Linked DNA regions of Tamandua tetradactyla. The protein of the gene in region 1 interacts with the protein of each later gene in a pairwise test. Links are inferred from orthologs where the notes say so. Each region holds a gene or a part of one and is shown in the gene's direction. Other genes may lie near its edges. The genes, in order: CYTH4, FOS and CNKSR1.

Evidence for each region.
Region 2: the proteins of CYTH4 (region 1) and FOS interact in a two-hybrid assay, tested with the Homo sapiens proteins (2 studies listed by BioGRID and IntAct). The two-hybrid records come from large-scale screens. The link is inferred for Tamandua tetradactyla from reciprocal best matches to the Homo sapiens genes CYTH4 and FOS.
Region 3: the proteins of CYTH4 (region 1) and CNKSR1 interact in binary tests that used the Homo sapiens proteins (3 or more experiments, as listed by UniProt). The two-hybrid records come from large-scale screens. The link is inferred for Tamandua tetradactyla from reciprocal best matches to the Homo sapiens genes CYTH4 and CNKSR1.

The regions. Positions count from the first base shown.
Region 1 is NC_135333.1:29,587,581-29,597,521, forward strand, and holds the start of CYTH4 (cytohesin-4), read left to right. Parts: upstream 1-5,440; 5' UTR 5,441-5,538; coding exon 5,539-5,557; intron 5,558-9,941. UniProt on the Homo sapiens protein: Promotes guanine-nucleotide exchange on ARF1 and ARF5. Promotes the activation of ARF factors through replacement of GDP with GTP.
Region 2 is NC_135338.1:34,375,912-34,386,051, forward strand, and holds FOS (protein c-Fos), read left to right. Parts: upstream 1-6,416; 5' UTR 6,417-6,590; coding exon 6,591-6,731; intron 6,732-7,431; coding exon 7,432-7,683; intron 7,684-8,109; coding exon 8,110-8,217; intron 8,218-8,341; coding exon 8,342-8,983; 3' UTR 8,984-9,791; downstream 9,792-10,140. UniProt on the Homo sapiens protein: Nuclear phosphoprotein which forms a tight but non-covalently linked complex with the JUN/AP-1 transcription factor. In the heterodimer, FOS and JUN/AP-1 basic regions each seems to interact with symmetrical DNA half sites.
Region 3 is NC_135328.1:200,015,235-200,025,145, reverse strand, and holds the start of CNKSR1 (connector enhancer of kinase suppressor of ras 1), read left to right. Parts: upstream 1-5,409; 5' UTR 5,410-5,572; coding exon of another isoform or gene 5,573-5,719; 5' UTR 5,720-5,987; coding exon of another isoform or gene 5,988-6,032; 5' UTR 6,033-9,911. Other genes in the region: C2H1orf232 (uncharacterized protein C1orf232 homolog), read right to left, coding at 793-890, 1,016-1,099, 2,936-3,019; ZNF593 (zinc finger protein 593), read left to right, coding at 4,419-4,618, 4,805-4,867, 4,951-5,092; transmembrane protein ZNF593OS, read right to left, coding at 5,573-5,719, 5,988-6,032. UniProt on the Homo sapiens protein: May function as an adapter protein or regulator of Ras signaling pathways.

The DNA.
Region 1 (9,941 bases):
AATAAAGTTATGAAGTATGTAACAGCATGGATGGACTTTGAGGACATTATGCTGAGTGAGATTAGCCAGAAACTAAAGGACAAATACTGTATGGTCTCACTGATATTAACTGACATTAGTGAATAAACTTGGAGAATTTCATTGGTAACAGAGACCATCAGGAGATAGAAATAGGGTAAGATATTGGGTAATTGGAGCTGAAGGGATACAGATTGTGCAACAGGACTGGATATAAAAACTCAGAAATGGACAGCACAATACTACCTAACTGTAATACAATTATGGTAAAACACTGAATGAAGCTGCATGTGAGAATGACAGAGGGAGGAAGGCTGGGGACATAAATGAAATCAGAAAGAAAGGTAGACGTTAAAGATTGAGATGGTATACCCTAGGGATGCTTAGAGTATATAATAATAGTGACTAAATGTACAAATTTTAAAAATGTTTGTGCATGAGGAAGAACAAAGGAATGTTATTACTGCAGGGTGCTGAAAATAGATGGTAATTAATATTTTAAAATTTCACCTTATGTGTGAGACTAAAGCAAAAAATGTTTATTTGGTACAAAATTTATATTTTGACTAGTGCATTTCCTAATATAACTTATGCAGACAGCTTACTTGAACACCATAAGTATATGGAACCTTGAGTAGGGCATGAGATTTTGTAGGTTTGTCCAGAGTGATGCCCCAATAAATCCCAGAGTGATTTGAACAATGAATTAAAAAGTATTTGCAAATGGTGAGAAAGGGGAAAAATTCAACTTCCCCAAGTTGAATTTATGATATTCTAACAAGCACTGGGGACAACCAATAAATAGCCTGAGCCCCCAATCTTGGGGTTTGTTCATATGAAACTTAACCCCACAAAGGATAGGTCAAGCCTACTTAAAATTAGGCCTAAGAGTCACCCCCAAGAGAACCTCATTTGTTGCTCAGATGTGGCCTCTCTCTCCAGCCAACACAACAAGCAAACTCACCACCCTCCCCCTGTCTATGTGGGACATGACTCCCAGGGATGTGGACCTTCCTGGCAATGTGGGACAGAAGTCCTAGAAGGAGCTGAGACTCAGCATCAAGGGATTGTGTATTAGTTAGGGTTCTCTAGAGAAACAGAATCAACAGGGAACACTCACAAATATAAAATTTATAAAAGTGTCTCACGTGACTGCAGGAATGCAGAGTCCAAAATCCGCAGGGCAGGCTGTGAAGCCGACAATTCCGATGGAGGGTATGGACGAACTCCACAGAAGAGGCTCGCCAGCCAAAGCAGGAAGAGAGACTGTCTCTTCTGAATCCTCCTTAAAAGGTTTCCAGTGATTAGATAAGCATCACTCAATGCAGAAGACACTCCCCTTTGGCTGATTACAAATGGAATCAGCTGTGGATGCAGCTGACATGATCATGACTTAATTCTATGAAATGTCCTCATGACAACAGACAGGCAAGCACTTGCCCAACCAAACAAACAGGTACCACCACTTGGCCAAGTTGACACATGAACCTGACCATGACAGTCCACCCCTTGTCAACTTGGCAGCTATACATACCATCTTAAACCATACCTAATTTCTAAATAAAAAACAATAAAACACACATTTTTCTTTTACCTAACAATACTCAATGGTCCTACATATAACTGGAAACACATTAAATCTCTCCAGAATAGGGTACAAATCCTTGGGTAATATTCATTCTTTTTTTTTTTTTTTTTTTTTTTGTACATGGGCAGGCTCCGGGAATCGAACCCAGGTCCTCTGGCATGGCAGGCAAGCGTCCTGCCATTCATTCTTAAACTTGATATCTTACAACTTAAATAGTATAACATAAACAAAACAGCATTACAGTCCTCGTTTCTGTAACTGATCACATACTCAAAGTTCATATTTATCACTACCTTCTTCCACTACCCATTCCATGTTCCCTTTACCCTCAGCAAGCACTTCAACTGGCCGTGGTTCTTTGCCTGGTGGGGTGACCCAAATCTTCATTCCTGAAGTTTCAGGGCCATTGGTAGTCCTGCCTGGATTGGGTTGTTGCAGTTTTCCATTGATTTTAATCACAGGGCATGGTAGTACTAACAGATGCCCTAGGGGATCTCCTATATTCCAAGAAAACTCTTCTTTACCTCCATTGTGTAGTTGCAGTCCTACTTCCCCCTGATAGTCAGAGTCAATCACCCCAGAAAATAATATAATCCCCTTCTTGGTTTGTTGATCCAGTGGCATAAGTAGCCCGAAGTGACCAGGTGGCAGTCTTAACTTCCAGTTCAATGGAATCATTGTTGTTTCTCCTAGTGGAAGCACTCCCCACTTTGGAACTAAACCTGTAGACCAGCAGAGCTCAAGGTTGCAGGGACAGGAAGCAAAAATTTTCCTAGTGGATCACTAGGGGTAATAGTGAGTGGTACCACTCCCATTTCCACCCCTTGATTCCTGGACCCATGGATCCTGGCTATGGGAGAAACACCATACAGCAGACGCTGATTCAGAGCATATGCAGCTTCCTGGAGAACATTATCCCAGCCTTTCAAGGTATTGCCACCTAGTTGGCACCATAACTGAGTTTTCAAAAAGCCATTCCATCATTCTATCAATCCAGCTCCTTCTGGACGATGGGGAACATGGTAGGACCAGAGAATTCCATGAGCATGTGCCCATTCCTACATGTCATTTGCTGTGAAGTGTGTTCCTTGATCTGAAGCAGTGCTGTGTGGAATACCATGACGATGGATAAGGCATTCTGTAAGCCCACGGATGGTAGTTTTGGCAGAAGCATTGCGTGAAGGGAAAGCAAACCCATATCCAGAGTATGTGTCTATTCCAGTTAGAACAAATCTCTGTCCCATCCATGAAGGGAGTGGTCCAATGTAATCAACCTGCCACCATGTAGCTGGCTGGTCACCTCGGGGAATGGTGCCATATCGGGGGCTGAGTGTGGCTCTCCACTGCTGGCAGATTGGGCACTCAGCAGTGGCTGCAGCCAAGTCAGCCTTGGTGAGTGGAAGTCCACCCATATACATGGAGAGGATGAGTTTACCCTGAAGGGTGAGAATGAGTCTCCCACCTCGTTGTAGTGGAAGAGTAGTGCAGCCTCAGGCCTTGGAGAAGGTACAGCACACTCCTTGGGGGACTGGGGAGAGCCTGGCTGCCACCACATGGAGGGGTTGAGTGTGTGCCCCAGAAATGGCAGAGAGCCCAAGGGTGGCCCCGATGCCTGGAGAGAGTGGAAACAAGAAAAAGGTGATCTCCTCAACGTTCCCCAAGGTTGATTTGGAAGGAGGCAGGCCACTGCATAAGCCCTTGGAAAGGGTGGGACTGCCACCTTCTAAAGCTGAAGGATAAATTACTTTCAGACTTTGAAATCCAGTGGTGTTTGCCCTGTAGATTTTCCTTCCCATTTCTCCCTATAGATCTTGTGACTGTCCCTCCTTTGCATGTTGGCACCAGACAACTTGTTTTGAGATTCACAGGTCCGCAGCCAGAAGAAAATTTTTTGCACCTTAATATTGTTTAAGGTGATGCATGAAGTTGCCAAGTTGACAAGGGGTAGACAAGTGGAAGTTAGATTCAGTTGTCAACTTGGCCAGGTGAAGGCACCTAGTTCTGTTGCCGTGGCCATGAGCTAATGGTGCCTGAGGCTCATCTGTTGCTGATTACATCTGCAGTCGGCTAGGATGAGTGCCTGCTGTAATAAATGACGTTTGACTTAATTGGCTGGTGCTTAAATGAGAGAGCGCAATGTAGCACAGCCCAAGCAGCGCGGCATACCTCATCTCAGCACTCACAGCTCAGCCCAGGTCTTTGGAGATGCAGAAAGGAATCACCTCACAGAAAGTTGTTGGAACCCAGAAGCCTGGAGGGAAGGCCAGCAGAGATTACCCTGAGGCTTCCCACATAAGAAAGAGCCTCAGTTGAAAGTTAGCTGCCTTTCCTCTGAAGAACTAATGAAATAAATTCCCTTTTATTAAAAGCCAATCCATCTCTGGTGTGTTGCATTCCAGCAGCTAGCAAACTAGAAAAGATTGAGAAAGGCTTCTCGACCAAAAGGGGGAAAAGTGAAATGAGGCAAAATAAAGTATCAATGACTGAGAGATTCCAAACAGAGTCGAGAGGTTATCCTTGGAGGTTATTCTTACGCATTAAATAGATATCACCTTGTTATCCAAGATGTAATGGAGAGGCTGGAGAGAACTGCCTGAAAACATGGAGTTGTGTTCCAGTAGCCATGTTTCTTGACGATGACTGTATAATGATATAGCTTTCACAATGTGACTATGATTGTGAAAACCTTGTGTCTGATGCTCCTTTTATCTACCTTATCAACAGACGAATAAAACATACAGGATAAAATTAAATAATAGGGGGAATAAATGTTAAAATAAATTTAGATTGAAATGTTAGTGATCAATGAAAGGGAGGGGTAAGAGGTATGGTATGTATGAATTTTTTTTCTGTTGTCTTTTGTATTTCTTTTTATGAATTAATGCAAATGTTCTAAGAAATGATCATGATGATGAATATGCAATTATGTGATGATATTGTGAATTACTGATTATATATGTAGAATGGAATGATCATAAGTTACGAATGTTTGAGTTTGTTGCCATATATTTTTTTAATTAATTTTAAAAACTCTAAAGAGAAAAAGAAGATAGAGTTTCTTGAGCACCTGCTACATTCCAGCACCTTATACACATTATCTCACTCTGTCTCTTACATAATTCTGAAGTGAGAATAATTATTCCCCTTTTATAGATGCGCAAACTGAGGCCCACTGCAGGTCAGCGTCTTGCCCAAGTTTACACAGGTCCTGCGTGGCAGAGCTGAGAGTCAAACGGCTGAGCCTGACCCCAAAGTCTACATGCTTTAATAGAACAGGTATAAATAAACATCAGATTTGCCTGTGAGTTTCCCAGCAGCCTAGGGGGAAAGGGAAACTGAACACATTACCCAATTGGTCACTAGACAAGAAAAAGGCAGACATTTCTTTGAGAGGAAACAGAGCCCTTCCTAGCACTGAATTCGTTTTGTTTTACTTTTCCCTCAGGTGGAAGTTGGTGAAGGAAATTCTGTGGACCGGAATACCCGGGGTCAGGCTTGACCTGTTCAAGTTGCATGGTCTGTTGGCTTATATGTAGGGGGGGTTGCTGCATAAATGTGTATTGCGTCCTAGAGCAGATTCTGTCTGCTAGTGGCTGTCACACTCTTTGTGAGTGTTTTTCTCTCTCTGTCTCGCTGCCTTCTCTTTTCCTCTCTCTCTCTGTCTCTTTCCTTTCTATTTCTCCCTTGTTTACACCCAAAATGCAAAGGACCCAGGCTACTCAAAACTGCTGGTTTTTAGGAAGTGCTGCTGCGTGGAGAGCCTGCGCGGCAGACCCCGCGGGCCGGGCCAGGACTTCCTCCCCACACAGGGCTGGGCGGGGCCGCCAGACAGGGTCTGGCAGTGGGGGTGACGCATCCCTGGTGGCCAGTCTGAGCAGCAGCTGGGTCGGCAGACCACAGTAGCACGGCCACCTTTCCCTGGGGGCTTCAGAATGGACCTGTGTCAGCCAGGTAAGCGCCTGGAAGGGCAGGGGCTGCGGGGAAGGCTGTGAGTGTGTAGGTGCGTGCAAGTGACAACCTCAGCTCCATGAGGAGGACAGTGGACGGGCAGGGGGAGTCCGGAGGGCACAGGCCGAGACATACCTCCTGTCGAGCACCCCTGTCCCCCGCCAATGCTCAGCAGGACTGACAAAGTTGACGCCAAAGGGCCTGCAGAGAAGACTGGGGCTGGTGGGGACAGAGGCTCAGAGAGGCAGGAGGAATCAAATTTAGAACTTTGCAACGGGGGCTCCTGCCACCGTCCTTCTACCTCCCAGGCAGTGCAGTGAGAAACGGTGGACAGTGGGAAGCTGCGTGTGGAGGGCTGAGAGGGGTTCCACAGGGACAGGTGGCACCTGTGAGGAGGATCCCAGCACTGTGCCCGGGGTAGACCAGCTCTTGGAGGGGAGGGGATGGCCAGTTTGAGAGGGTGAGCATCCTCCCAGGAGGGCATTGACATGGGGGAGGTGGGAAGGGAGGGGCACATGCCCAGGGTGGGCATCCCAGCCCCACATTGGGAGTCCCAGACTGCATTTCTCGGCCCGGGCCTCCATTGCACCCCTCCCCCAGACCCTCACAGACCCAGGCTTGCCCCACCCCACCTCCAGTCAGCTTTGGGTCCCCTCCCTGGACTCTGCACTCAGAGACCTGTACATGGGGGAGTCCACGGAGTTGGGGCCACCCTGAGCTCCTCGGCCACAACGTGCACCAAGACAGGCCAGGCATAGGACAGAGCACTCAGCACTCAGGGCACAGAGGTTGGGGGCTCTGTGCAAGCCCACCTGACCCTGGGGCTCAGCATCCCCACCTGTTAAGGGGTAACCTTGCCCTCCGTTCCCTAGAAAATAGTCTTTCCCATCCAGAAAGGGTTGGCAGTTGTCTTATCTCATGTGAGCTTCGCAGTCTCTATAAAAAGGTGGGGGCAGGAACTGTTGCTTCGTTTAACAGAAATGGAAACTGAGGCTGGGCAGGTAAATAGCTTGCTCACTGCTTCATGGGCAAGAGGGAACCAGGCCCCGGACACTGGTGGGCTCTTCTGACTTTGGACTGGCTTGGACCTGGCCAGGGGGTTTCTTCAGTGGCCTCCAGGACTTTTGAGACCCCAAGGCGACTCTGGGCTCCCAGGCCTGGTCATAAGTCCCCTCCTCCACTCTCTCGCTGTGTGATCCTGGGTAAGACGGCCAACCTCTCTGGACCTCAGTGTCCTCTTCTGTAGAATAGGAAGAATGGTGCCTGCCTCACAGGATCCTGGAAGGATTAAATGTGTGAATTGATGTAAAGTATCTGGGAAGCCCAACAGCTCCAGGTGGGTGTCAAGCTGTGTCCCAGTTTGGGGTAGAGCTATTAACAAATCAGGCAAAATGCCCCCTCGCCCTCATGGGCTGGCTCTCCCGGGGGCGGGTGGGGCAGGAGGATGGACAATAAATCTGTTCTAATATGTCAGCTGGTGATGAATGTGGTGGACAAAAGTGCAGAGTCTGAGGGAGGGGAGGGAGCAGCCCATGTGGTTTCTGGAGAAAGAACCTTCCTGGCAGAGGGGACAGCCAGCACGAAGGCCCAGATTTGGGACCGAGACAGGCTTCTTGTGTAATGGTGATGATGGTGTTGATGATAGTGACATCTGTCTGGTCGGTGCAAGGGCCCTGAGGCCTTTTGGGGAAGCCAAAGATGCTGCTCAGAGGCAAAGGAGGGGAACTGGAATGAGAAGGGGGAGGTGGGGGCTGGGGAGAGGCCGTGGCTGAGAAATTCCCCAGTTCTGTGGTGAAAGAGGAAAAAAGGCTATGAAGTTGGGAGAGAATGGGACAAGGCTGTGTCCCTATGAGGCAGAAAGAAGGGCTGGAAGAGGGACATGTCCCTGCATCCTGAGTCTCAGAAGTTTCCAGCATTGCCTGGAATTCCAGAACATAAGGGCTGGGAGAAGCTGTCCAGTTCCTGAAGTTGAGATGACTTCCAGTTCATTTAGCAACAGTACCCTTTCTTCAAACGAAATGCAACACAGACTGAGCAGTTCTGGCCCCATCTCTGGACGTCCCACCCACCACCTCCCATGAAGTAGACCAGGGAGGGCTCCAGGGAACACAGTTAGAGAAACACTGGCCCATTTCAAAAGCTCCCGTTTGACAGATGTGTCAGAGGAGGCCGAGAGAAGGGCCACACCCCCTGTCCCCTGACGCTCTGTCCAGTGCTCTCTCCCTGACACCCCTGCTTCTCCTGTGGCCTTTTTGGGGACAGATGGCTCAGACTGTACAGCTCAGTGAATGTGTCTTAGGTGGGTATTAGGAGGCGAGAAGAGGCCCAGCAAGGGGCTGTGTCTGGGTCAAGGTTACTCAGCAGATGAGTGGCAGAGCTGACGTGAAGGTGAGATGGGGCGGTGATGACATCCTGCTGAGAACTGCCTCCCCCCTCCCACGGCCTGTCTTTCCACCGTTATTGCTTCATTCTTCTGCAGTTTAACAGGCTGAAGTCCTTAGGACCAGGGATGACTGTCCCCATGATGCACATGAGGAAACGAGGCCCCCAGAGGCCTGGCTTGTCCAATGTCACATAGCCAGGAAGTGGCAGAGCAGGGACAAGAACCGGTATGCTGGAAAAGAAAGAGCCCGAGGTTCGCCTGGCCGTAGGAGAGAGAAGGGAGGGGAGGGGCCTCCAGGGAAGGCCGGAAGATGAGTCACTGCTGTGCTTCACACTGGCCTGAGAGAGGAAATGGACTGGGGGCAATGTAGGTGGTCTGTTGGAAGATTTGGGTCTCCGATGATTTGTTCGTTTGTTCATTCATTTGTTTTATAACCCATCCTGGGTGTCCAGGTCCTGTACTGGGCAATGCTGGGGACAGTAGGGAGCCACTGGTGCAGGACATGGGGGAGGGCGAGACACCCTGTAGGATTCTGACCTAGGCAGATGGCAAACGGGCACAAGCCTGAAGTGTGGGCGGAAGCGACTCTTCCTACCCTAGGAGGGGCAATCTGGGAGGACTTCTTGGAGGAGGTAGAAGGTAGGTCATTCCTCTGTTACCCAGACTGGATCCTAATTGCAGCTCCCCCATCCCCCACCCCCCACTCACCATGATCAGGTGACTTCCCCTCTTGAGATCAGATTCATCATCTGTAAATGGATGCATCAGCCCAGCTTGACCTGGAGAAGCAGGGAATGAACAGGGACTTGGAGCCATCACATGGCTCTGGTCCCAGCTCTTCAGCTACATGATGGTGGCCATGATGGATTGCTTCCTTCTTGGCCTAAGTTTTTCCACCTGTATAATGGAAAGAATGATGACATAGGTCCCCCCAGGGCTATCTCCTGACTATGGGTGTGTGACATCCCAGAAGCAGGTCAGGACTCCTCCCCCAGGGCTGCTGGGAAGGTGACGAGGGCCAGGTAACAGTACTCCAAAATGACCCAAGACAAGCATTTGGCTGGTACAAAGGACAGGCCATGGTTAAAAATAGAAGCAGCTCAGCTTGGGGAGAGGAAGTCACACGTGGCGCCCGCAGGACCTCCAGGGCTGGGGCGTGGAGCAGCTCCACCAGACACCACCCCCCTCTGCCCCGGTGCCCCCCATGCTGAGACTTTGTGGGGCCTCTTCCCTCAGGGCCCCAGGATGGCTCCCTCCTCCTGCCCTGGAAAGGGGAAACGAGGCCAGCTGTCCTGGAAGCGGGCTGCTAGCAGAAAGATTTCTAAAAATACAATGGAAAAGAGGAAGGACAAAGGGGAAGTGGAGAGGAGCTGGGGAGCTGGTCCAGAGTGGGCATCAGAGCAGGGCACACACACAGCTGGCCGGGGGAGGGGCCCAGGGGGGATGGGGCGTGGGGGTGGAGGGAGATCCCAAGGTCTGAAAGCTCAGTGCTCAGTCAGGGGTAAACCGTCTCAGTCTCCAGGCCTGTTACTCTTCTTTAAAATAGAGCTCGCAGAAGCCTGCTCTAGCGTCTCAAACTCCACTGTCTGCAATTGTGGAATCAGAAGTGTCCGGGCGTGAGTTATGTCTGTGTCACCCTCCCTGAGTCTCAGTGTTCTCAGCTCTGAAATGGGGAGAACCTCACTTTTGAACCAATCGTCAGACGAAGGGTCTGGAGGCCCTTTGCGCACTGTCCAGACCCCTGAAACCTACCCGGCCAGGGGTCACCTCAGAGGGCAGAACCCTGAGAGAGGGGAGGGCAGACTGAAAGGATTCAGGGATGCATTTGTCAGACCACAAGAGAGGCACTACACACAAAGCTATTTGAAGTAGAAACTGCGAGCACCTCCCTCACTCTTACCTGCGTGGTTCCACTCCCAGGAAACTGTGTTACTGTTGTGTCTGTTTCCATTTACACCTGAGCCTCAGTTTCCCCATCTCTACAATGGGGGCTTTGTTTTATTT
Region 2 (10,140 bases), on another chromosome or scaffold:
AGTTTGGAGGGATAGGCAGCGGCTGAATTACATAGGTTAGACCACAATTAAGGAGTATAATTATTTTTGAAGTGCAATTCTGTAAATTGGCCACCAAACAGAATTAGTGGAGGGATAACTAACTGGAGTGATTTAATCTGGAGGTATAACATGTTGCTTTTGTGTTATAATTCAATTCAGAGTCCCTTAAGTGGGGGGAGTAAACTCTGACAATGTGAGGTCAGTCCCGGTCTGAACTAACTAACTCACAACCTCACATGGACAGGGTCTAAAGGTGGACTTCTTCAGTAGAGTCATTGGTGGGACTTTACCAGTGAATTCTAACTCATTAAACACTCCAGGTAAAATACCAGAGGGGAAGATTAAACGTCAGCTGGGAGTTGCAACTGGAAGTTTTCTTGTAGGATACAATCAAATACTAAACTAAGACAAAAACCTATCACATCTGAGGATGGAACTATGATCTGTTTTCCAAACAAGTCAAAAGGCAGCATAACTCCAAATGCTCAAGTACTGGTCAGGATTTTCCTGATTTAGGGAAGGAGATTTGGGGGGGGGGGGGGGGGAGTGAAGAAGAGCAATAAAAGTCTCTTCTAAAGATCTTTCTTGTCAATTCTTGATATTCACACAAGCAGTGTGGACAACCAAAGCTATAGGCTGAGCCCCAGTCTTGGGGTTTGTTCACATGAAACTTAACCCCACAAAGAGTAGGTCAAGTCTGCTTAAAATTTAGGCCTAAGAGTCACCCCCAAGAGAGCCTCTTTTGTTGCTCAGATATCGCCTCTCTCTCCAGCCAATATGATAAGCAGTCTCACCACCCTCCCCCTCTCTGCGTGGGACATGACTCCCAGGGGTGTGGACCTTCCTGGCAAGATGGGACAGAGATCCTAGAATAAGCTGAGACTCAGCATCAAAGGACTGAGAAAAACCCTAGAATGAGCTGAGAATTAACATCAAGGGATTGAGAGAACCTTCTCTACCAAAAGGGGGAAGAGTAAATGAGACAAAGTGTCAATGGCTGAGAGATTCCAAACAGAGTCGAGAGGTTATCCTGGAGGTTATTCTTACGCATTAAGTAGATATCACCTTGTTGTTCAAGATGTAGTGGAGAGGCTGGAGGGAACTGCCTGAAAATGCAGAGCTGTGTTCCAGTAGCCATGTTCCTTGATGATGATTGAACAATGATATAGTTTTCACAATGAGACTCTGTGAATGTGAAAACCTTATGTCTGATGCTCCTTTTAGCTACTATATCAACAGAAGAGTAGAACATATGGAATAAAAATAAATAATAGGGGGAACAAATATTAAAATAAATTCAGTTTGAAATAGTGGTAAATGAAAGCAAGGGGTAAGGGATATGGTACGTATAGTTTTTTTTTCTCTATTATCATTTTATTTCTTTTTCTGTTGTCTTTTTATTTCTTTTTCTAAATCGATGCAAATGTACTAAGAAATGCTGAATATGCAACTATGTGATGATATTAAGAATTACTGATTATATATGTAGAATGGAATGATATCTAATGTTTTGTTTGTTAATTTTTTTTTAATTAATAAAAGAAAGTTAAAAAAAAAAAAAGATCTTTCTTGTCGAGTAAGTAGATAAAATGGTATAAGCTCCACCTGGGATGCCTTAGCACCTTGGTACACATCATGTAACAGCCTGTTCTGCTCACCCTAGCCCTTGCCCAGCCCAACTATGAGATTCCCACGTTGAATGGGGGCCGTGCAGCTGATGTTTCTTAGTCAGGGTGTATCGTTGTCCTATAGGTTTAGTGACGTGGAAGGGGCTCCTCTGGAATCCCAGAAACTAAGTCCACCAGAATTGCAGATCAGCTCAGGACACCTAAGGTGCTGAGAACCTGGAGAAGATTTGCTTGTCTGTCGGGGAAGAGCTCTTGTTTCTTCAGCAAGATTCAGCATGACCCACAGGGTGATTGCCTGATACTGCCAATTGGGATGAAAGAGGCCAGGGTTTTGGGCTAAAGTATGTTCATCTTAGACACCATAGCTGTTCCCTAGTTTCCTCAGCTCCAGATGGAATGTGTCCCAGGGACCACACAGAGCTTTGTTTAAATGCTGGCATTAGCAGAAGGATGGGGATCCCATTGAATCATCATCTCCTGTCAAAAAGCCAAGAGTTGTTCAGAATGAAAACATCATTTTTCCCAAAGAAGCGAATCCCTAGTACTAATCAGTTTTGGCATATATGTGTGTGGGGGGGGGGAGGGGGGGTTAGGGGGGTGGATAATTAGATGCCTCCACTGTTTTGAAATAGGGGCAATCTCTCTGCCCACAGTCTGAGCCATAGGGTGAGTAACCTTGACCTTGAAGGCCTTTCCTTTTGCTCACGTGTGTGTGAGCCTTGCAAGAATTATTGAATGCTTAAAGGGACCAGACATTTCAGAAAGAATAAATTAGGGGGTGGCAGTAACACAGTCATTGTCATTGCAGACAACGTGGTATTGATGTATGGGCACTGGCTGTCTTCCTCATGGGACTGAGAAACAAGGGTATGTATGACCTTTCATCATGAACTGCTGGGGTGTTCTTTATACACAGTGGCTGCACCAGCTGAAAATAGCCCAAACATCTTGCTATTTTCTCTTTCCCAGTTCTTGCCTATTCATACCCAAGAGTAAAAGACAGCCTGTTCAGCCACTCCAAAGATTTAAAGAACGTTACCTATTTGAGTTCAGGGTACCCAAAGTACAACCATTGTTGTTCACCTCGCCTGGGTGGGGGGCATCATTTATTCAATTCATTTATTCATCCACTCAATGAATATTTATTGAATGCCTACTAGTGCCAGACACTGTGCTAAGTGCCATGTGAACAGTGACACATGAAAAAGACAAAGTCCAAAAGTACATAGCTGCTAAACAAGACTAAGAAGTGACTTCCCCAAGCCCCTGAAAGAGTTGATTTTTGTGTACGCATCTTCCTGACTTTTGGTCCCGTGCTCTGACCACAACCCTTCACCACTAGACCACACTTCCCCAAATAAATAGCTACTTCTGCATGCTGGGGACGGGCTGTGTACGGCAGCATTTACGTAGGCGGCACAGACAGCAGCCTTTCACTTAGTTTTGCAACAACCCCAGGCTCAACAATGCGCACGATGTGCAGTTATCGAAAAAATGTTTGATGAGGCTCAGGTCTCTTAATGGGAATGCCACATGGAGGGGGCAAAATAGGAAAAGTCTGTATTGGATAAGGAAATACTGCTAAGGAAAAATTAATTTGTGCTTAGTTTGGGTTAAAACCAGATGCTGGACTCCTTTTCACACTTGGATCCCCAAATAAGAGTTACTCAGCAAACAGATCATCACAAACTATGTAAGATTTGGTTTTATATGCTCAGACTTGTCCAGAACACAGAATCTCCGTCCTGCAAGGCCCGCCTGCTGGAAGGCAGCACCATGCTCACAGAGATACACCTGTTTCAAAGTTATCCTAACTTTTCAAATGAGAAAGATAATTTCACACATTGGTTCTGATTTGCCTTTATCTTTAGGCTACATTGTGCAAGCTCCATTTTTTAAAAATGTGATTTTGCAGTCCTGAAATATCACGAGTAGACTGAGTTGTGAGAGTATGCTAGAATGCAGTCACAGGTTCAGATGTTAGTGGGGCGGGAGAGGGAGTCTAAGTTTGTATCATCTGGTACATCTCTTTCTGGTTGAGTGCTAGCTTCCTTAGATGATGCTCTGGCCCTTTGCAAACTTTATAATGTAATTTCCCAGAGGAAAGAGGATCCAGGCTCCATCTCTGTATTGCAGTCACTTTCTCTGTGACCTTTTCCCAAGCCCTCTTCTGTGTTCTGTAGCACCCTATGCTACCCTCTGTCAAACCAGTTACTGCTGTCCTACAATTTTCAATTGACTTGCCAGTCTTCTCCACGAGGTTGGAATCTCCAGGAGGGTCTGGAGACAGGCCCAACTCTGTTTATTACAGTAAGCACCGGTCCCTGACACAGGGCTGAGCAAAAGGAGGCTCTCAATCCTTCTTTGTCAAATAAATAAACGAATGAGTGCTTGGTTCTGTCCTTCTCAGAGGATGAATTTATTAAATATCCACTTCTCTGGTAATAATGGTGCCAAGAAGGAAAGAGTTAAGCTGTCTGGACGAGAGAGGCACACCCAAAGACCCTTTTCCTTTTTATTGACAAAGGCAGAATAAATGATGAATAGTATTAATCCTGGATGTAAAATCTTGACACGTCTTTTAGGTATTAGTCTGAGCTGGTTGAACTTTGAAGGGGAAGTAAATCAAATCATTCTAGGTTTTTCTCTTAAGTGGCTCTGAGATCCAGTTGTGAATCAAAGACAAGGCCAGACCCAGGAATTCAAAGCTTGACCTACTTTGTCCAAAGCTAATAATAAGAAGAGAGATGGATTTGCCTTCATGACATTTTTTAATAACCAAGGACAGTAAAGTAGGTTGACAGAAGGTAGTTTGGAAGGTCTCAGAATTGCTTTAGGACTCAGAACAGCTCCAAGAAGTCTGTGTTTCTATATTATGTTTTTCCAATTCTCTCTTATTTTTTTTAAGTGAGAGGGAAAAAAAAAAGCTTAAATTCCCACCGACATAAACCAGTGACATACAATGATGAAATTGTGTTTTCACCTCTGCCTGTGACAGGGAATGCAAAAATAGTAAGTGGCCCAATTCCACGAATCCCCGCCTCCCTGCCCTCCCTGCTCCCCCAGGGTTCGGATCTCTAAGAATGGAGGTTAGCGCATAGCCGCGCGCGCGCCTCGCTCAGCCCCCGGACCCGGCGGATGATGTCAGGCGGCGGCAGCGGCCGCAGCCGGGCCCGGGAGGCCACGGCCCCGGGGGAGCGCAGAGGGAGGGCGGCCTAGCCAGGCGGACGGCGCGCCCAGCCGCGCGCCGTCGCCTGGAGACCGCCCTGGCGGCGCTGTGTTGCTGTAAACAGCCGCTTCCCTGTTACTATCTATAGCAGGATCGCTTGGCTCCGGGGTGCGGGCGGCTGGAAGCAGGTCGGCCCCCAGCTCCGGGAGCGCCCAGAATGATCCGCCCGCTGCCCGGGCCCTGGAACTGGGGAAGGGAGCGCCGGGACTCTTGCGGGGATCAAGGGCTTCGCGCCCCAGAAGTGGCCAGCGAGCTGGGGGCGACCCAGAGTGATGTGACCCCGCTGTCTTTTCAAGTGGGGCAGGAGGTTAGGGTGTCTGGGGGGCGCGGCACGACCCAAGTACCTAGCCACCTCGAAATCCCGTTTTCCGGGCTGCGGAGCTGCGCCTGGGGCTCCAGCCGCGGAGATCTCTGCTGGGCACAAAACTCCGCGCGCCCGGACCCTTGCCCCTCCCTCTCCAGATCCGCGCTGGAAAATCACCCGCTGCGGGCTCCAAGTAAGCCCAGCTTCTAGGCGGGGATTGAACCAGTCTCTCACCTTCTCGAATCGCTCTTGCGCGCCCTAAAGAAGCTCCCCCCACCAAGTTACCCTGAACTGACCACAGCGCCCATTTATAACGCGCTCCCCGCCACCAGCTCAGAATGAGGCAAAGACCCCTTCAGACACTCTTGCCAGAGGTTTTGCACAATGTTTATCAGCTGGTGTCTTAGAGATGTGACGGTAACAGTCTCACATAAGACCGAGAAAAATATGCACCGTCTTCCTTAAAAACAAAAATAATAAATAAAATTAAAACCCCAAGCATCATACATAAAGTAGGTTATCTTATCCTCTTATTTTGGATACCCCGACTTTCTGCTTCCAAACGCAGTCACAATCCTAGTATGACTCGCCGTCCGGGTGGACGAGGGTCGGCTTCCACATTTTGCAGAGAATTAGGGTTAGAATTGGGAATGGGGGTGGGCGCATTCCTTCTGGGCTTTTCTCCTACCTGTTTCTCCTACACCTGAATCGCAGAACTGTCCCTGTTTTCTGTACCACTGGTAACGAGGAGCACCCCTCCCCTCCCCCATCTCGGGAACAAGGGTCCGCATTGAACAAGCTGCGAAAGTTCGCTCCTGTTCTCCTGCTTTCCCGCCTCCCCTCCCCCGGCCGCGGCCCCCACCTCCCCCCGCCTGCACCCTCGGTGTTGGCTGCTGCCTGCGAGCAGTTCCCGTCAATACCTCCCCCCTTTACACAGGATGTCCATATTAGGACATCTGCGTCAGCAGGTTTCCACGGCCGTTCCCTGCGGTCGTGGGGGGAACCATCCCCAAAGCCCCTCATCTTGGGGGCTCAAGAGACCCCGAAGACCCAGGGAACTAAACGCTCACAGGATAAGGACATAAAAGAAGACCGAGGGCAGGGGCAGCGAGAACGCCCGAGGCGGCAAGGCGGCGGCAGATGCGCCGAGACTCTCGCGTCACCCCTCCAGTGCCGAAATGGTTGCGCCGTGACGCGTGGGCTCATTCATAAAATGCTGTTATAAAAGCGGTGGCTGCGGCGCCCCGTACTCCAACCGCATCTGCAGCGAGCAGCCGAGAAGCTGAGACACAGCCGGCGACCGCGGCGCAGCGAGCGAGCAGTGACCGCGCTTCTACCCAGCTCTGTCCCACAGCTCCCACCTGTCTCCGCCCTTCGGCCCCTCGGCCGGCTTTGACTAATTGCGACCATGATGTTTTCCGGCTTCAACGCCGACTATGAGGCGTCTTCCTCCCGCTGCAGCAGCGCCTCCCCAGCCGGGGACAACCTCTCCTACTACCATTCGCCTGCCGACTCCTTCTCCAGCATGGGCTCCCCTGTCAATGCGCAGGTAAGGCCGGCATCGTGCCTCCTTGGGCACGGGGCTTGGGGTCGCCGGGGAGGAGACATCGGGGCGGGACGCTGGGGAGAAAGGCTGCAGCGGCCGAAACATCTCTAGCCCGGGAGCCCGAGCGTTCTGAGCACTCGCACACTTGCTATACTAAGAATTGGTTCCCTCTTCCCGCGGAGGGCTCATTACTAGTAGACCCCGGCAAGTGCTCTCTGGCTGGGTCTCTGACATGTGCTGGGGCAAATGTGTTCCAAACAGACTCGCTAACTAAAGCCTGACGCCTCAGGGGAGGCGTCAAAAAGCCACAATCCCCCACCCCGCCACCCCCACCCCTCGTAGCCTGGAGCAGGGAGGAGGGGCGGGGGAAGAGGGTGCAGCAGGCGGGTGTGTAAGGCAGTTTCATTGATAAAAAGCGAGTTCATTCAGGAGACTCCAGAGCGGCGCCTGCGTCAGAGTAGACGTCAGGGATATTTATAACCCCCTTTCAAGCTAGTGATGCTGAAGGGATAACGCTAACGCAGCAGCAGGATGGAGGAGAAAGTCACTGTGCTGCGGAATTCTTGGGGCGAAAAGGGGAACCCTTTTACCCAGGATGAGGGACACATGAGAGGACAGGACGTGGCGCTGGGAATTCTACTCACCCCACCTGTGTCCGGACCCGGCTTGCTCACGTTTGCTTCCCTCTTCTCTTTCGTTCTAGGATTTCTGCACGGATCTGGCTGTTTCCAGTGCCAACTTCATCCCCACGGTGACTGCTATCTCGACCAGCCCGGACCTGCAGTGGCTGGTGCAACCCACCCTGGTCTCTTCGGTGGCCCCATCGCAGACTAGAGCCCCCCACCCGTATGGGGTTCCCACCTCCTCGGCAGCGGCTTATTCCAGGCCTGGCATTGTGAAGAACACGACAGGAGGCAGAGCCCAGAGCATTGGCAGGAGGGGCAAAGTGGAACAGGTGAGGAGCTCTTCAGCACCTTCTTTCCGTAGCGGAGGGTGCAGAAAGATGGAGATGGGGGAGCAGCCGAGAGGTTGAAGCCACTAATCAAATGGACTGGCAACCCCAAACAGAAGCCCTGGCTCCAAGCCCTTTGCATCCCAAGTCAGATCCAGAGCGTCCCACCCCAAGAAGTACTCTAATAATTTCTGCCTTTATAGTTTCCCTCTTATGCATTTAGACTGGTTTTTCTTTGTTCCTTTGCCGAGGCCCTTATTTTAAATGCAAGTCACACCCAGCCTGCAAATGCAGGTTAGAAATGGCTTCATAGAAGAGGTGCCAGGAAGCTGGGAAGCTGCAGGAGCCAGTTGCACTGCAGTGGGTGGATGGAAGTGATGTTGGACACTGTTACTGGATGTTGATCTGTTTTAAAAATTATTACTCTAGTTATCCCCAGAAGAAGAAGAGAAAAGGAGAATCCGAAGGGAAAGGAATAAGATGGCTGCAGCAAAATGTCGTAACCGGAGGAGGGAGCTGACAGATACACTGCAAGCGGTAGGTGGTCCCCATGGATCACTCCTTTTTAAGACTTAAGGGGAAAGTTGGAGATGGGGTGTAAGGGAGCAGGGTCCTTGATTAAGACTGTGTCTTATGCTTTTCTTTATCCCTCTGTATACAGGAGACAGACCAACTGGAAGATGAGAAGTCTGCTTTGCAGACAGAGATTGCCAACCTGCTGAAGGAGAAGGAAAAACTCGAGTTCATCCTGGCTGCTCACCGACCCGCCTGCAAGATCCCTGATGACTTGGGCTTCCCAGAAGAAATGTCAGTGGCTTCCCTTGATCTTCCTGGGGGCCTGCCGGAGGCTACTACCCCGGAGTCTGAGGAGGCCTTCAGCTTGCCCCTCCTCAATGACCCTGAGGCCAAGCCCTCCGTGGAACCTGTCAAGAGCATTGGCAGCATGGAGCTGAAGGCTGAGCCCTTTGATGACTTCCTGTTCCCAGCATCGTCCAGGCCTAGTGGCTCTGAGACCGCCCGCTCTGTGCCAGACATGGACCTGTCTGGGTCCTTCTATGCAGCAGACTGGGAGCCCCTGCACAGCGGCTCCCTGGGGATGGGGCCCATGGCCACAGAGCTGGAGCCCCTGTGCACCCCCGTGGTCACCTGCACTCCCAGCTGCACTACTTACACGTCTTCCTTCGTCTTCACCTACCCTGAGGCTGACTCCTTCCCTAGCTGTGCGGCTGCCCACCGCAAGGGCAGCAGCAGCAACGAGCCCTCCTCTGACTCGCTCAGCTCCCCCACGCTGCTGGCCCTGTGAGCAGGCGGGGAAGGGGAGGCAGGAGGCACCTCCAAGTGCCACTCCCTGAGTTGGTGCATTACAGAGAGCAGAAACACGTCTTCCCTCGAGGGTTCCTGTAGACCTAGGGAGGACCTTATCTGTGCGTGAATCACACCAGGCTGTGGGCCTCAAGGACTTGAAAGCATCCCACGCGAGGACTCAAGCCCTTACCTCTTCCAGAGATGTAGCAAAACGCATGGAGTGTATTGTTCCCAGTGACACATCTGAGAGCTGGTAGTTAGTAGCATGTTGAGCCAGGCCTGGGTCTGTGTCTCTTTCCTCTTTCTCCTTAGTCTTCTCATAGCATTAACTAATCTATTGGGTTCATTATTGGAATTAACCTGGTGCTGGATATTTTCAAATTGTATCTAGTGCAGCTGATTTTAATGATAACTACTGTGTTCCTGGCAATAGTGTGTTCTGATTAGAAATGACCAATATTAAACTAAGAAAAGATATGACTTTATTTTCTAGTAGATAGGAAAAATAGCGACATCCATGTACTGTAGTTCTTCTCCAACATCAATGTTCGTTGTAATGTTACTGATCATGCATTGTTGAGGTGGTCTGAATGTTCTGACATTAACAGTTTTCCATGAAAACGTTTTATTGTGTTTTTAATTTATTTATTAAGATGGATTCTCAGATATTTATATTTTTATTTTATTTTTTTCTACCTTGAGGTCTTTTGACATGTGGAAAGTGAATTCGAATGAAAAATTTAAGCATTGTTTGCTTATTGTTCAGAGACATTGTCAATAAAAGCATTTAAGTTGAATGCAAAAAACCCTGTGCTCTTTTCATTCTGGACATTTTGTAAGAATCAGAAAGGTTTTACTGGAGGCCTGTCTTTCAGGAAGGGTGGCTCGTGGAGGGGGACACATCTCTCTTTCTGGTCCCTTATCAAAGAGGAGAAGGAAACTCCAGAACTGATCTTGGAATATTTTACAAATATATCTTCATATCGTGAGGCTAAGATTCTCTACTCACCAACTGGGGTGCAGTGGGAGGGGGGAAGGGAGCATCTCCTATGCAATACTTTTTGTGGGCACACTTGTTTCTGCTTCTGATAGTCGAAGGGGGGAATATTTAAGCCCAGTTGTGCTAATATTATAGGCATCTTGATCTTAAAGAAC
Region 3 (9,911 bases), on another chromosome or scaffold:
GGGTGTAGGGAGAATCTGGGAGGCAGCAGAAAGATGTGAGGGTAGGACAGTCAGGAGGGACCCTGAGGCTCAGGTCTGGGGAAGATGTAGAAGAGTGAGGGGGAAAAGGTGAGGGAGGAAGAAAGGCTGGAAGAATGGATGGGTCAGGGGTCCCTAGGGGAGAAAGGAATAGGGGAGTGGCAAAGGGCAGTCGTGTGTTTGTGTGTGTGTGTGCGAGTGTGAGTGAAAAAGAGATGGGGTGTATAGCAGAGAGACGGCTGAGACTTTTGGTCCTGGCCTCCCTCACAGCATGAAAGACCTTCCAAGACAGTGGTTCCCAAACCAGGAGCTTGCTGAAGATACACCGCCCAGGCCTCAGCCCACACCTGCTGAATTAGAATCTCCTGAGCAAGGTTCCTGAATTTATGTTTGTCGCAAGCTCCTGAAGTGGGTGAAGGTGAGGCCGATATTTGGGAACCACTGATCTGAACTACCCTCTCTTCCAAATACCTAAAGTTTCTTTCTTCTGTTGTTGATTCTAAGGAAATGATCCCTCAATGTAGATGTGAACGGTAGAGAGAGGGGATTCAGGAGCCCATAAATACTTTTTAGCACCCCGATCCCAACAGCTGAGAAGTTCTTCCTGAGATCTAACCTAATCTCATAGTGTTGCTGATTCGGTCTCTTTCCTGCTTAGAGAAAGGAAAACAGCAGGGGCTGCCCCTTCCTAGCCCTCTGTGATATGAAATACAGACAGACCAGATGGAAAGAACAGGGAGAAGGGATCTCAAACCCCACACCCCACATACATACTGGTCTGAACAGGGCTCCGGTGGCAGCAGCTTGTCCTCGTCGTCTTTGTTAAACAGAGATGACATGGTCAGCCAACCTTTCACCCCAACCCCCTGAACCTAGGATAGAGGGACTGAGAGTCAGGAGAGGGCCCTGGGACAACCTACCAGGGCTCCACAGCAGCCTCTGCCAGGCTCCCCAGGGGCAGGACCAGATCGGGGTGGAAGAAGGGAAAAGAACTCACCCGGCGGGCCAGCTGTGACATGGGGTTGAAGGCCTCTTCGGCCGGTTCTGCCATCCCAGACTCCACCAAGGCTGGGTTCTCCCTCTGGGACACAAGACCCCCGCCTGGCATGAGAGAGGCTCCAGAGAAGTGGGAGCCATCCCACTGCAAGCCAGGCACATGCAGACCAGGCACTCCAAACCCCAGAGAGTAAGCACTCACTTGTACATCTCACATCTTCTACAAGGACGCACGGGGACACATACAGGTATACTTCTGTACAGAGCTACAGTCATACACGCACACCTGTACAGTCAGTTCCTGCAGACACCCTGAGTACACATACCTGTCTACCCACCGACACAAAGCCACACCCATACACACTGAAGACATGTGGACAAGGTCATGCACGCTGATTGTAGACATACATGAGCAGGCTTCCACCTGGCTGCAGAGTTTTACATCTGTACATGGATGTATGTACATGGACACGCACATAGTTATGCCATTTACACCTGTCCACATGTACACTTATAAAACTGCAGGCAGCTCTACAGAGACCCACCTGTAGCACACGAGAACCTCTCCACCCACACACAGACACTAGGACAAAAAATGTACACACACTCCTGGGTTATATTGTGGGCCCCAAAATGATATGTTGAAGTTCTAATCCCTAGAACTGTGAAAGTGACCTTATTTGGAAATAGGGTCTTTGCAGATGCAATCAAGCTAAGACGAGGTCATTCTGTATTAGGGTGGGCCCTAATCCAATGACTGGTGGCCTTATAAGGACAGGAGAGGTCCCGCAGAGACAAACACAGAGGGAAGACAGAGGCAGGAATTGGGGTGATGCAGCTACAAGCCAAGGAATGCCGAGACACAATGAAAGATTCTTCCCTACAGCCTTCAGAGGGAGCATGGCCCTGATGACACCTTGATTTCAGACTTTCAGCCTCCAGAACTGTTAAAGAATAAATTTGTGTTGCTTTAAGCCACCCAGTTTGTGGCAATTTCTTATAACAGCCCTAGGAAACCAATACATACCCAAACTCACATGCATGCACATACACACACACAAAGGTGTGCAGACATTGAATTCTGCCCCAAATGTGCACATCTTAAAAGACCTGTACCTAGTATATACCTGCACATATACCTTCACTGGGGATGGCACATGGAAGTCAATCCCAGTACCCTCCCAAGGGTATTTCTTTGCAAGCCCAATGTTGGATGGTAGCCAGTCTGGAGATGTATTCGTACATAGGACTAGTTCCTGCCTCTGCCACATCTGTCTGCACAACTGCCATTTATCATAGCCTCTAACCTAAGACTGTTTCCAGTTTGAGATCACTGTTAGATTTTTTATGTCAGGATAAAGCTTGGGCCAAGTATGGTTTTGATCCGATGCTGCCCTCAGAGTAATCCTCAGAGTAGAGTACAAGTTCCACTTCCCTTCCCTCTAGTAACAGGGTTTGCTACCTCTAGAGGCGAACCATCCCAATTCTGCCCAGCTCTCTGCCTGTTAGAAAGCTGTGTCAAACCGAAATGTACCCCATGTGACTACTGCCTACCAATCCTAGAAGTGTGTCTTCCTCACGTCTGGTGGTTGCTGGCAATCATTGGCATTCCTTGGCTTGTAGCCACATCACTCCAATTCCTGCCTCTGATTCTCATGGCATCCCTCGAGATCTTTGTAGACTGTGGACCACTCTTCTCATTCCCACCCCCATCACTTTTCCCCCAGTTTTCCCAAAGTTTTCTTGGATATCCTGGCTTTCTGATCTGACACTCCACCGTCCCTTTTGCCACACCCTGAATGTGCCAATGGTTTCTGCATCAATGTGCCTCTCTCTATCTCAGAGCCTTCCCCTTGCTGTCTTAGTATCTCTCACTCCTACTGTCCCTCTGCCCAGGTCCACCCAACAGGATACTACCTACCTCCTCTGCCAGGTCCTCCTCAGATTCCCCACTCAGTGTCTGCAGTACTTTGGACTTGTAGGTTTTCCAGAAGGCCTGGTTCATGGCTACTGCAGGGGGAGACCTGGCAGCCAAGCACAGGAAGGTGGTGGCTCAGTGGGCACCCAGTGTCTCTGGCTCCAGAAACATGGCGAGGCCAAGATGCTGTCCCAAGGATCGGGTAACTTCATAAAAGATGCACCAGCCTCCTTCAGCTGGCACAGTGCCCAGCTGTTGAACCTGATCCAAAGGAGTCTGGAGTGGGGTGGGGCCGTGAGACAGAGCGGGCACTATCACCTCAGCTCTTCTCTTGACCCATCTTGATCAAGAATAATGAAGACATCTCTCCCCTCTGAGGCTGATCTCTTGGAATGGCTCTGGAAGAATCCTCTTTCTCATTCACAAAGTCCTTGGGTGCAGGTCCCATCCTGGTGCCCCTAGGACTGTAGCCATGCTGGGCCCTCAGCAGCCCTCACCCAAGTAGTGTCCCACTCAGCCCCTGCAAATTGAAGTGAGAAGGTCCACAAGCCCCAGACGGCACCCTGGGTTTACATTTCACTGCTTTGTCTGGGCTGGAAACTGACTCCCTCTCCCTGGGGATGCACCTGCCTGTCCCTGTTTCCTGGCTACAGTTTCCAAAGAGCTGGAGCCCCTGAATTATTGCTGAGCACCTCTGGCCCTAGCCCCAGGAGCTGACTCTGGCCAGCTGGAGAGGCACCAGGCTCTGGTGGACGCGGAAAGGCTCTCTGGCGTGTAACATCTGAGCTACCAACCCACACCTGGGGAGTCCACGGCTCAGAGAAAAAGGACAATAATAGGGAGGTCCTTTTCTGAGCATTTCCTCCTGGGCCGACAGGATGCCTGACTACTGTGACCTCCGGGGCGGCTTCGGAGGGTGGAGACCTGAGGGGAGAGTTAGGGGACCGTGAGAGGTGTCAGGGACTTGGAGATCTCAGCAAGCCCTGTGGCGCCGAGCTCTCAAATGTATTCAGACTCATTCATTTATTAAGTTATTCACATCACAGACATTCATAACGGCTTCCCAGAGGCGTTCAAAAGATCTCCCATCGCGGAGTCTAAGGTTTGGGAATCTTAACGGGTGAAAGTGCCAGGGGACGGCACTAAGAGCCAGGGATGGCCGGGGGAGGGGGGAGCGTGCAGAGCCGCCAGACCGGCCCCAGGAGTCCCCCAGTCACACGGCTCCCGCCCAGCGACTGACCCGGGGACCTCGAGGCCAGGACGGAGGACACTTCGTCTGCCCCCTCCCCCGCCCCGGGTTTACGACACTGACATCGACGGCCGCCTGGGGGCGCTCAAGTCGGCCCGGGCCAATGACGTCACCAGGGGCGGTCTGGCGGAGCTTGCACCGCCCCCGGGCGTCGCGTGACGTCATCGAGCGGTCCGGAAGCGCTAACACGTGCTACATCCGTCCCCGCCGGGTCCCCTGGCCGGGCTGCGACCCAGCATGGGTCGCTCACGCCGGACGGGCGCGCATCGAGCGCACACACTGGCCCGTCAGATGAAGGCGAAGCGGCGGCGGCCGGACCTGGATGAGATTCACCGCGAGCTGCGGCCCCAAGGTCCTCCGCGGCCCCAGCCCGACCCGAATGCCGAACCCGACCCGGACCTCCCAGGGGGCGGCCTGCATCGCTGTCTGGCCTGCGCGTGAGTTTCGGTGGGGTCGGTCTGGAAAAAAAGAGGCGGGCTCTCGAGTTCGGGCCCCCGGTCGCGCGACATCTCCCTCCTTGGGACCGATGGGTCTGCTGGCTTGCGGGAGCCGGGAGTCTGGGACGTAGGCGTACGTGAGCGATACCGCCTCCTCACCCTCCACCTCACCTCCCATCCCTGCAGGAGGTACTTCGTCGATTCCGCCAACCTGAAGACCCATTTCCGATCCAAGGACCACAAGAAAAGGTATGGAGAGCATTGATGGTTGGGGGCTGGGCAGGCAGGACTCCCATCTAGTCAGCTTCCAACTCCTGCCCTCCTTTCCTCAGGCTGAAGCAGCTGAGCGTGGAGCCCTACAGTCAAGCAGAGGCGGAAAGGGCGGCGGGTATGGGCTCCTATGTGCCTCCTCAACGGCTGGCGGTGCCCACAGAGGTGTCCACTGATATACCCGAGATGGACGTGTCTCCGTGACATGGTCTGAGGATGCAGGGCAGGAGAACTGCCAATGGACAGTGATGCCTAGTCTGGGAGAAACTGTGCTGACTCTTCTGACCCTGGGTTTGAGGAGTAAACGGCTGCTTCTGGGTGCCTACCCACAATAAAGGAACTGGACAGAGGTCTGGCCTCTGAACTCCTGACTTCGAGGCCAGAGACCCCTGCCTCCCCCAAACTCTTGCCTTGTACTGGTTTCTCTCCTGTGTGTAGGGCCCAGCATGTCTACCTCTTCCTTTATGAACATTTAGAACCTGCACCCCCCCTTCTCTATGGGGCTCTGACGTATGACCTGGTGCCCCCTAAAAGAGCCCAGGTGCAGTGAGGAGGGAGTTCTGATCAGGTGTATTCTATACTGAGGGCAGAGACTGACCCCCAGGAAAGAAAGAAGCTCCCAAGATTTCATCCCCTCCCTGAGTCACTTACCCCTAGGGCACAGGTGACTGGCCGCCTACTTCATCATGGGGCCTGTGGTGGCTGTCGCTGCTCCACCATCTTCCAAACACCATAGCAGGAGCTGCCCAGCCCGAGGACAGCCAACAGTGTGGCCACAACCCCAGCCACTGGGTTCCGGGGCTCTGCCTTCAGCAGTCCAGCTACTTGCATCTGGAGATGCACAGATGCCTGGGCTGTTGGTTGAGACTTGGGAAGGTGAGGGGAGGGAAGGGACTGAAAAGGTACAGCTGGATGGAGATGCAGATGCTGCCCCAGGGAGATTCCACCCCAATCCCTCTCGCTTCACTGCCCATCTAGGTCCTGACTACTCAGGCTGCGGAGAATATGCCAGCCTAGCTGGTCGGGTGTCAGCCTCACTATGGTTGGGGGAGGATGGGGTCTGTGGTACCCCCCGAAGCCAGAGGTTTGGGGTACTTACCTGTAGTACCCGGAAGTAGCCAGGGGTCAGGCGTCGAAATCGCATGGTGAAGGGGGTGCTGGTCACCCTGGGGGCCTGTTGGGGTAGGTGAAGACATGAGGATAAGTGGTGTTCTTTGTGCCTAGGAGTGGAAGTCAGTGTCTAGTGGCCCCTGACCTCCCATGCACACACTGCACATGCTCTCAGTGGATGCTTACCAGTGCCTGCCCGCCCACGTCTGGCAGAGGGTAGGGCAGCTGGGACCTTTAAATCCAGTCCCTTCCCCCTGCCTGCCCATCCTGCCAGCCTCAAGTGCAGCTGTCAGGAGAAATCAGCATCAGGCCTGAGCAGCCCCTCCCCTGCCCACTGGGGAGGACAAGCCTGGTAGGCGGGAGAGGCCTTGTCAGTGCCAAGAGTCCCAGGCCTGGACCAGGTACTGGGAGGGCCTCCCTGAGCCCTGGCTCCAGTCCCTACCCCTACCTTAGATGATTGGTTGCCACCAATCAGCTCTCAGCAAACAAAGCTTGCTTTATCAGTCCCCTTGCCAGCTGCAATATTCCTCTCCACTTGGTGGTTTCTGCTAGAACAACCACCCTTACCCTGGGGGAGGGTACATTTCACCCCTCTCCCATGATGGGGTTCCCACAGGGACAGATCCATTTCTTCTCTAATCTTAGCTTGGAAACAGTAATACTGTAATGGGTTGTGAAGACTCAAAGAAAAAAATGTGTGCAGAGTCCACACCTTTTGCCCAGGAATTTCACTCCTAGGAATCTCTACAGCTATTACCAGTGCAGCTAAGCAAAGATGTATGTACAAGGGTGTTTGTGCAGCATTCCTTGTAGTAGTGAACATGTAGAGATAGCCTCAGTGCCAAACACTAGGTGAATGACTAAATGTGTTTCGTTCATTTTGTGAATACTATGCAACCAAAAGAAAAAGAAAAGGTAGATTTGCATTTACTGATTAAGAAGGCTATGTGATATGTTAAAAAGCAGTGGCTGGCAGAGCTGGATGCTACTCTAAGCCCTTTACTTGAATTATTTCATTGGTATTATGAATTTTGCATTTCATAATTTGTAGAACAGTATATAGAGTGTCTGCGTGTTTAGAGAATGGAAGGTTAGTGCAGAAAATTTAATACTGGCCTCTCTGGAGAATGGGTCAGCATCATGCTAGGAATTCTCCTTTTTTACTTAATGGCCTTTATTACCTTTGAAATTTTTACAGCAAATTTATAGAAATTTTATAAACTCATAACATTTATAAAATAGAAGCTGCCATTTATGGAGCCCCTAAGTGTCTGGCAGGTGCCGAGGACACAGAAGAGGGGCACTGTTACAGTTGTTAGGCCCCCTGTCCTTTGGGTAAGTAACTGGCATAAATGCGCGGTGGTAAATTCTCACCTCTTTCTCTCCTACAGGATTGTGAGTTCAGGGAGGGCAGAGTCTGGTGGGATTCTCATTTCGGTATCATGCCAGCTCAGTATCTGGTTGGTATTTGAAATCAGGAAGGGGAGGGAATAGATAGAGCTGCTTTTAGAATCCACTGGCCTTCCCCAGACTGTTGCAGGGAGGCTGTTGTACAAAGAGGGAAGAAAAAACCTATAATTTTCAGGTTCTCCCTGTAACTTAGAGGGGCCAGCCTTTTCAGAACATCAGCTAGTTCCATCTCTCTGATAAGTTAGAATGGGCATAGCCCAAATATCCACAAAGAGTAGGAGAAAGATCAAAGGTGATGAAGTTGTACAACAAAGGTCGGGTTTAACAAATGAGTATGATTGCTGAATCACTTTATTGATTTTTTTTTAGTCTCCAGTATCTTCAGAGCAGCTAAAAGTAAAAACCTAAAATTGTAGAATAGAAACCCATACCAAACTCTGAAATCTGTTCTACAACTAACTGTTGCACTGTGCATTGAAATTATTACTATTTACTGCTTTTTTTGTATATATGTTATTTTTCACAAAAAAAAAAGTGAAAAAAAATGTGTATATACCTTTTAGCCTCCAATGCTCTGGAGCAGCTAGCAGGAAAAGTCTGAGATGATGGTATGGTAGCCCGTGACAAACTCTGTGATCTGTCCTGTAACTACTTATTGAAGAATGCTTTGAAAACTATTGCTTTTTTCTTTCTTTGCTCTGTATATACGTTATATTATAAAATTTTAAAAGTTAAAAAAAAAAGAAAGAGGCAAGAATGTTGGAGGACACAGCTTGGACTAGTGTTCGAGAGACACAAACAGTATAGGGTGTGAAGGCGGGAGGTGAAGGACAGAGCCAGAGAGGTGACGGGGTGTTTCACTTTTGGAGTCTATTGATTCACTGAGAGGGAGGCAAGCCCTGTGGGGAGCTGAAGAGCTGGTGTCACACATGAAGGAAGCAGCCACTGATCCCTCCAGCTTTTGATGCCCTATAGAGGTGGGGTGGGGTTGCCAAGGCTGGCAGAGTTCCAGAGCAGCTGGTGATCCCAGTTTGTATGTGAAATTGTTAAATGTTAACAACTTAAAAGCACACACACAACACTGCAGGGGTCACCTGTTGGCCAAATCCAGACTCCAGGTCTCTGGGTTACAGGCAAGATCATGACAGTCTTTGAAGGCCAGGTGTTGGGATGCTGATAGAGATTCCAAAGTAGGTGAGACGTTAGGAGGGACCAACTGTGGAAAAGCCTCCCAGGCCTCATAAAATTAAAGCAGAAATAATGACTCAAGTCTCCCCTGTGTTACACATTTCAGAGTGCTTAGAGGAGCCTGTCGAAGCCAGTCTTACAGCCTTAAGAGCTGGGTATCCCCCTGTTCTAGTTTGCTAGCTGCCAGAATGCAACACACCAGAGACGGATTGGCTTTTAATAAAAGGGGATTTATTTTGTTGGTTCTTCAGAGGAAAGGCAGCTAACTTTCCACTGAGGTTCTTTCTTACGTGGAAGGCACAGGATGGTCTCTGCTGGTCTTTTCTCCAGGCCCCTGGGTTCCAACAACTTTCCCCGGGGTGACTTCTTTCTGCATCTCCAAAGGCCTGGGCTGAGCTGCTAGGCTGTGCTACCTTGCGTTCTCTCATTTAAGCACCAGCCAATTAAGTCAAACGTCACTCATTGCAGCAGACACTCTTCCTAGCCGACTGCAGATGTAATTAGCAACAGATGAGGTTCACGTACCATTGGCTTGTGTCCACAGCAACAGAACTAGGTATGCTCACCTGGCCAAGTTGACAACTGAATCTAACTAACACACCCTCCTTTAGAGAGGAAGGGGTAGGCTCAGGAAGGTGTATGTGTTGGGCTCAGTCACACAGCATGTGAGTGTGGAACTGACTTGGGCCTCCTAATTCCCAGGTCCTGGAAGTCCCCTGGCCTGGGATGAGGAGTAAGGATGCAGATGATAACTCCAAATACTTCCTATATGTCAGACGTTCTAAGATGAGAGCGCTTAACCTGGGGTTAAGAATTCAGTGGGTCTATAAATTTGGACGGGAAAAATTGTGTCTTTATTCTCAGTAACCTTTAATTGAAATTTACCATTTCCTTCACTTATGGATTGAAGTATTAGCAGAATCTGACTTTGTCACCAAAAGAAATCACTGACATTTTTATATCAAATTATTGTATAGTTATTGCAAGCATCTTGAAATACTGTTTATTCCTTATGACTGCTTCAAAATCATGGCAGTTTTAACCCCCCACTAAATCTCCCCAGATCACCCTTTCTGTTTCAGACTTTGCTTCAATACTGCTGGCCCTCAGGTAGGCAGTTCTGCCCCCAGTAGTGGGTCCAGGGACCACGGGGTATATTCTGTTCTCACGTGGGTGACTCAGGCTTTCTTCAGTCCTTAACTTACTTAAGCTGAACAGCAGCAGCCTTCACACCATCTTCAAAAGGGAAAAATTTAACATGAATTCCCAGTCTTGTTACGTAATGTTAATAAACATATACCACTATATCTAACTT